2 linked regions of the Oryctolagus cuniculus genome follow. The protein of the gene in region 1 interacts with the protein of each later gene in a biochemical or structural test. Links are inferred from orthologs where the notes say so. Each region holds a gene or a part of one and is shown on either strand. Other genes may lie near its edges. The genes, in order: CACNA1A and CACNB4.

The links.
Region 2: the proteins of CACNA1A (region 1) and CACNB4 form a complex in vitro, tested with the Homo sapiens proteins (2 studies listed by BioGRID). The link is inferred for Oryctolagus cuniculus from reciprocal best matches to the Homo sapiens genes CACNA1A and CACNB4.

Annotation. Positions count from the first base shown.
Region 1 is NC_091447.1:62,578,949-62,582,755, reverse strand, and holds part of CACNA1A (voltage-dependent P/Q-type calcium channel subunit alpha-1A), read left to right. Parts: intron 1-2,840; coding exon 2,841-2,948; intron 2,949-3,076; coding exon 3,077-3,177; intron 3,178-3,807.
Region 2 is NC_091434.1:89,783,241-89,787,147, reverse strand, and holds the start of CACNB4 (voltage-dependent L-type calcium channel subunit beta-4), read right to left. Parts: upstream 2,731-3,907; 5' UTR 2,585-2,730; coding exon 2,522-2,584; intron 2,339-2,521; exon of another isoform or gene 2,205-2,338; coding exon of another isoform or gene 2,196-2,204; intron 1,963-2,195; coding exon 1,879-1,962; intron 1-1,878. UniProt on the Homo sapiens protein: The beta subunit of voltage-dependent calcium channels contributes to the function of the calcium channel by increasing peak calcium current, shifting the voltage dependencies of activation and inactivation, modulating G protein inhibition and controlling the alpha-1 subunit membrane targeting.

The sequences.
Region 1 (3,807 bases):
CAAGCTTTACCTGTGCATTGATTTTTTTTATCTAGTAAATATAAATTTCCAAAGTACAGTTTATGGATTACAATGGCTTCCCCCCCCCATAATTTCCCTCCCGCTCGCACCCCTCCCATCTCCCGCTCCCACTCCCTCTCCCATTCCATTCACATAAAGATTCATTTTCAGGCCGGCGCCACGGCTCACTAGGCTAATCCTCCACCTTGCGGCGCCGGCACACCGGGTTCTAGTCCCGGTTGGGGCGCCGGATTCTGTCCCGGTTGCCCCTCTTCCAGGCCAGCTCTCTGCTGTGGCCAGGGAGTGCAGTGGAGGATGGCCCAGGTGCTTGGGCCCTGCACCCCATGGGAGACCAGGAAAAGCACCTGGCTCCTGGCTCCTGCCATCGGATCAGCGCGGTGCGCCGGCTGCAGCGGCGGCCATTGGAGGGTGAACCAACGGCAAAGGAAGACCTTTCTCTCTGTCTCTCTCTCTCACTGTCCACTCTGCCTGTCAAAAAAAAAAAAAGATTCATTTTCAATTATCTTTATATACAGAAGATCGATTTAGTATATATTAAGTAAAGATTTCATCAGTTTGCACCCACACAGAAACACAAAGTGTAAAATACTGTTTCAGTACTAGTTACAGCATTACTTCACATTGGACAACACATTAAGGACAGATCCCACATGAGAAGTAAGTACACAGTGACTCCTGTTGTTGACTTAACAATTTGACACTCTTGTTTATGGGATCAGTAATCTCCCTAGGCTCTAGTCATGAGTTGCCAAGCCTATGGAAGCCTTTTGAGTTCGCCAACTTCGATCTTATTCCGACAGGGTCATAGTCAAAGTGGAAGTTCTCTCCTCCCTTCAGAGAAAGGTACCTCTTTCTTTGATGGCCCCGTTCTTTCCACTGGGATCTCACTCGCAGAGATCATTCATTTAGGTCTTCTTCTTCTTCTTTTTTTTTTTTTTTTTTTTTCAGAGTGTCTTGGCTTTCCATGCCTAAAATACTCTCATGGGCTCTTCAGCCATATCCGAATGCCTTAAGGTCTGATTCTGAGGCCAGAGTGCTACTTAGGACATATGCCATTCTATGAGTCTGCTGTGTATCCCACTTCCCATGTTGGGTCACTCTCTCCCTTTTTTGTTCTATCAGTTAGTATTAGCAGACACTAGTCTTGTTTGTGTGATCCCTTTGACTCTTAGACCTATCAGTGTGATCAATTGTGAACTGAAATTGATCACTTGGACTAGTGAGATGGCATTGGTACATGCCACCTTGATGGGATTGTATTGGAATCCCCTGGCATGTTTCTAACTCCACCATTTGGGGCAAGTCAGCTTGAGCATGTCCCGAATTGCACATCTCTTCCCTCTCTTATTCCCACTCTTATATTTAACAGAGATCACTTTTCAGTTAAATTTGAACACCTAAGAATAATTGTGTGTTCATTACAGAATTCAACCAAAAAAAAAAAGTGGGAGGCAGGGGACTGATGGGAAGGAGAGACGCAGAGGGACATTGGGGGCACCCATGGTGGGAGGGGGCGGCTGTTTAGCCAATTGTGGAAACAGTGAAATACTCCTCTACTCCTCTGGCCCCTGTCCTGCCTGGCTGTGTCCAGCACCTCTGGGATCCACATCTGGCTCAGCGCAGGGTCTGTGCACCTGCTGGTCAGTGTCTGTGATGGAACCCAGGGTTGGAGTCGCTGGCAGCCCCCAAGGGCCTCCGAGGCACGAACCCTAACAGGTGCATTTCCCACTCCTGCTGTGCTACCCCTGGGCTGTCCCACAATGAGCAGATGCTGCCCCTTGTGTCACCAGCCACATGGTGGGGGGAGGCCCCGATGGAGTTCTGGGGCAGCCCTGGCTGCTGTGGGCATTTGAGAGAGTTGAACCAGAAAATGGCAGATCTCTCTTGGTTGTTCTGCCTTTCAAATAAAATGAAAAAAAAAAAAAAAAAAAACAACTCATTACTTGTCCCCTCCCCTAGCAAACACAGGCAGGGCAGGAAGGACCAGACCCTTCCCTCTCTGCCTCCCTCCCAGCCCCCACGGCCAAGGAATCAGCTTCAGACCAAGGCCAAGTTCACGGCTGGAGACACCTGGGAGAGGGAGGAAGAAACCTTGGTCAGGGAGGCCTCACTCTGTGCTCACTGGGGATGACTTCATCTAGTCCTAGCCACGCCCCCAGAGGCCCCGCCCCCAAACACCAGCATCCCACGGAGTTTGCACACACACCCCCTAATGCCTCCCAGCAGGGACAAAACCTGCAAGTGCGGGTGGACCTCATTCAAGGTGTGCACACCTTCTGTTGGCAAACCAACAGGTGAGGCCAGTCCCAGAGCACCGTCATTCCCCCGAGGCAGGTGGGGAAACTGAGGCGCGGAGAGTGAACTGGAGACCCTCGGTTTCAAAGCGCAGGAGGCAGGATGGGTCTGACTCACCGTCTTTAACTGCTCATCTGTTTGAAAAGCAGAGAGAGACAGAGAGAGAGAGAATCTTCCATCTGCTGGTTCAAGTCTCCAAATGGCCTACAACTTGCCAGGGCTGGGCCAAGCCAGAAGCCAAGAGTTCAGAACTCCATCTGGGTCTCCCACGGGGGTGGCAGGGACCCAAGCACTTAGGCCGTCTCCCCTGCCGCCTCCCCAGGGGGCCTCGATCAGAAGCAGGGTTTGCCAGGACCTTGCTCTGCTACGGGCTGCAGGAATCCCAAAAGCAGTGGATTCACCTGCCTGCCCCGGCCAGGGACCAGAGCCCGGGCAGCTGTGCCCAGAGCTGCCTCTGGACCAGGCTCTAGGGAGCCCTGGAGAGAGCTCCGGCTAAGGGTCTGTGTGTGCCACGCCCCCTACAGGCGGAGCAGATAAACAGCAGATGGACGCTGAGCTGCGCAAAGAGATGATGGCCATTTGGCCCAACCTGTCCCAGAAGACACTGGACCTGCTGGTCACACCCCACAAGTGTAAGGGCCTAGTCTGGGGCTCTCGCTCCTCCCCACCCCAGGAACTCCGATCCACCCACATGGGGAGGGCGCCGGGATGGGGAGAGGACGGGGTGGCACAAGTGAGCTTGCCCTGTGCCCCTCCCCAGCCACGGACCTGACAGTGGGCAAGATCTATGCCGCCATGATGATCATGGAGTACTACCGGCAGAGCAAAGCCAAAAAGCTGCAGGCCATGCGCGAGGAGCAGGTGCGTGCGGGTCTCCCTGGTAACGCCGGGGCTGCCTGCCTGTCCTCACCCACTCTGGGAACCAATCGGAGCAAGGGGTGGGGTTGGGGGTGTGGCCGAGCTCAGGAGCCGGTCCCTGTGCTGTAGGGCCAGGGAGCGAAAACCCAGGTCAGTTTGGTTGGCGTCACCGACACTTATGAAGCGCTTACTGTATGCCGGCTGCTGCTTTTTATTTCATTTTTATGTTTTGGCCTTGTTCAGCTGTGAACAAAACAGAGCAGAAGCAGGGGACAGCTGAGCAGAGGCTTGGAGGAAGAGTGGAGGGAGGGAGCCAAGGGGTTATCCAGGGAAAGGCGCCCCGGACCAGGGGCCAGCAGCCAGTGCAAAGGCCCTGGGGTTGGACTTTGCCTGGTGAGCTTGGGGGGCAGGAGAAGGAAGTGGCCAAGCACAGTGCACCAGAGATGAGGGCAGGGAGGTGGCGTGCCAGGTCCTCCAGGGCTTTGGTGGTGAGGGACGGGGGCCACCACAGAAGGCTCCAGTTTTTGCTCCGGGGTTAAGCCGCAGCCAAGGAGCTAGAGACTGACTCAGGTGCTCGCTGGCGCCCTCTAGTGGCTGTGCGTGGAGGTGCGGGCAGGACCCGGTAAGGCCGGG
Region 2 (3,907 bases), on another chromosome or scaffold:
AGCCATTACAACAGTCTGTATGATGCCATCTATATAAGACCACGTGGAGGAAAAATGATCACCAAAATTAGGCATTACTGTGTGTGTCAAAAAGAAAGAAGATTGTGTACATGATACAGTGACTTCTTGAATTTAGATTGGACCATTTTATCAAGCCAATGAATCCCAGTTCCAGAAAGCTTTATGAAATATATTCTAAAAGTCAACAGTGGCTCCAATTATACCCAAAATTATTTAGCATGTAATGATTTTTACATTTTTAAGCCAGCACACAGCAGCACATTTTACAAAAACATATTATCTGATTCACTTACTGGCATAAACTGAGGACAGAAGGAAAGATCAAAAGAATACTGTTTTGTTTGTGTTTGGAAGAGCAAAGTATAAGTGCAGAGATAGTGTGGGCTAACTCAAAAGTTCTGGTCAAACAGTTCATGGAATGCAGAGCCATATAATAGTATTTCCAAGAATTTACAATAATAAAGTGCTCCCCAAAATAGGCACCTACACCACAAGACCTCCAACAGTGTAATTCACAAATGTTTAAAATATGAACGTTGTCTTTGCCTTACCAAGTACACAAGCTAGCATTGCAAAGGGAATGGAACCCACTTTGAGAATGAATGCAGAATCCAAAGGTATTTCTCTTAACCATGCACATGCTCTGTGCTCACTGAATTAAATAGCAGTGACAATTCCTGATCCTGCAGCAGGTGAAATTCTGCATAATAAATACAATCCAAACCCGCTTGAAACAGACCCTTCAGGAGAGGTCTGCGCCCAGTTGTGGGTCTAAAGCCCATTCAGTGGCCATGATCTGTTTCAACTGATGATAACCATCACTTCACAAACACACCGCAGCGATCACAGGTTGAAACCATTACGCAAGGATCTGACTGACCTACAGGGGAAGGAAGTTCTCAAGGTCACCCCAGCAGACCAAGGCAGAACCTGAGAGGGAAGCTTCTTGGTGAGCTAACTACAGTCTTCCCAGGCCACCCCAAATGCCAACACCCCAGCGGTTTCCGTTCCAAAGAGAGATCAAGGTGACTCACTTTTGCATGATCTCCAGCACCCAGCGCTAGGGGTGGTTTCACGTACAGTAAGGAAATTCAGGACCGCTTTCCTGTGTCAAGGTGAAAGGCACATCAGCCTCAGCCTTCGTGGCCGTGCCGGCCACAAACAACACTGCTTGGAACCACGCCGAAAAAAAAATAAATAAAACGCCTAATACAAACCGCGCAGACCCCGGCTACTGAGTGCCGGCGTTGGCTTACTTGCATTTATTTAACCAGGTCCGACCGCTTTCCCCTAAATAAGCGAATCAAAGAAGAGGTCCCAAAGTGAGACCGAACTTTCTGCTCCAAGCGTTGTTCCTTTGACTAGAGCTCGAAGATCTCTCCCAATATCTAGACAGAGTGTTCAAAATAGTAAAGGCAGAAGAAACCCTTAACTCTCACTCCGGCGCAAGCCAGGTCCCCTGCACCCAGGGGGGTCCGGTGACTCCAAGCGAGTTTCTCCCAGTCCGGAAGGTGCAAGCAGCAACATTCCCAGCTCTCAAGTTCGGGGTGCCTGACCAACATCCCTGTCCCTGCCGACCCGAAGCCGTACAAACTTCCCGGGGTGGTGCAGAGACGCCTGGACCCAAAGACTGCGGGGATACCGGGCCTGGGAGAGAGAGACGCGGTCCGAGAAGGCGAGCGCGGGGACGAGGACGCCAGGATCCGGAGACTTAGGAGCCCGGGCTACTGGGAGACAGACGCAGCCCGAAGCGGCGCGCGCGATCAGGGACCGGACCTGCAGCTGCCGCCGCACGTGGGGGCCGTGCTGGGTGCCAGGACCCCCGGCGCCGCTCGCCCGCCCGCGCCCGCAGCCTACCTGTCTGAGAATGAAGCTGGTCGAAGTGGTGCTGCCATCGGATCTTTTCAACCTGCTCCTCCGGGTCGTGGTGCCTCGGGCCACCTGGACTCGATACACGGGGCCAGAGAGAAGCCGGTGAGCACCGCAGCGTGGAGCGGGGTGACCACCCTGGCCAGAGTCCGCCTTGGGACCAGCTCCCTGGGATCCCCCAGAGCCCGCACCCAAGTCCCCAAGTCTCCTCCGAGGCTCCCGAACACAGCCCCCACCCCCACCCACCCACTGCAAGCCTGGACGGCTGAAAAGATTCCCGAGGAGAGCAGCCCGCGAGCACCCACCACATCCATCAACAAAGACTCTCGGGGTGCGGGGTCCGAGTCCCCGGCATCCGCTGGGGGAGGCTATGGGCTCCGGAGCCGGAGCGCAAAGACCTGGACTACGATGAGGAGGAGGAGGAGGAGGAGGAGGAGAAGGAGGAGGAGGAGAGGGAGGAGGAGGAAAGGGAGGAGGAGCGGGAGGAGGAGGAGCGGGAGAGGAAAGGGACGCGGAGAACGGATGGGGAGCCGGGCAGCCGACTCCCGGGACTCGGGGGCCCAGCCAACCTGGCACAAAGGCGGGGCGCTCTTGGGCGGCGAGGAGGCGGAGGCGGAGGAGGGGGCGGTACCTGCGAGGTGGGGGAATGCGGCCCGTCCACGGTCCCGTTCTTGGCGTAGGAGGAGGAGGACATGGCTCAGAGCCGCCGCATGGCCAGCCCGTGCGCGGTGGGCGGAGGGCGCGCGGGCCCCGCAGGCTGGGCTGCGACCGGAGGGGGAGGGCGGCAGGACTTCCCCACCCGGCTCCCTGGCCCCGCGCCGGCTCCCGGGCTCCCCGCCCGCACTTCGGAGAGCGTGGCACCTTAAAGGGGCCGAGACGCTGCCCCCGCGCCGGCTTCGGGGTCCCGGGGAGGGGGCTTCTTGGGATCTCGCCTCCCCGAGCCGATCGGGAGCAGCTCTCTCCCACCTAGCGGGCGCTTTACATCAGAGCTTCCCAGAGGAGGCAGGGAGGGGAAAATCTGGGATGGGGGTGGGAAGATTAAAATAGTCTGCACAGTTTAAAATGAAACAAAGGTGGCACGGTTCATGAATCAGGACTTGGGGAGGGAGGCTGGTGCAGTGTGGCGGGGAGTGGGAAAGACCGAGTGGGGGTGTGTGTGTGTGCGCGCGCGCCGCCCTGGAATTTTAAAAGGGCAAAAGCCAGCCTTCCTTACTCGACTTCACTCAACCGCTCGCTGTGGTAAGACGTGGGATGAGGGGGCTGCTTCCTGTTCGTGTTTTTGTGTTGTTTGGGTAACTCCAGCCTCAGAGCCACGAGACACACGCGCGCGCCCGCACACTCACACACGCGTGCGCACACACACATTCAGCCTGGGCGAGAGACCCTGCTGGCCAGTCTTTGGCAAGATGCAGCCCCTCACAGGAGACCGGCAGGTCCTAAGGAGTTTTGAAGGTCAAGTTAGACCTGCTAAGGAGCAAGAGTTGGCCACGTGCCTCCCATTTCTCCGTGGCTGGCAGTTAGCAAGGGAGGGAGGTCATCCTGGCCACCATCCCCAACCTTTGCCTTGCTGCCGCGGCCTGCCTTCCGCAAACATATTCGGAGGTGAATCTGAAATCACACGAAAAGCCAAGGATTGTGGCGAAGAGGGATTTGAAGTCATAAGAAGAGTAAGGAAAAATATATGCAAATTCAAAAATAGTTACTGCACCGAATCCATCATTAAAATATACAAGGTCTCTCAAATCACTAGGTCAGCCATCCTGCCTTGTATTCTAATATTGTATTGATTAATTTATTTACAGAAATAAATGCCATGTTTAAGACTTACTTGGCCTTGAGGTCCTGGTTCTTTCTTACCATCCACCTGATACTTTCTTTCCACTCCTACCCCCCTTGATTTATGCCAAGGTTGTGTGTGTGTGTGTGTGTGCTTAACTAGTCTCTGCCTCTAGGCTCCCTACTACACACACACACACACACACACACTTCCAATTAGACACTATAGGAAAATGCATAT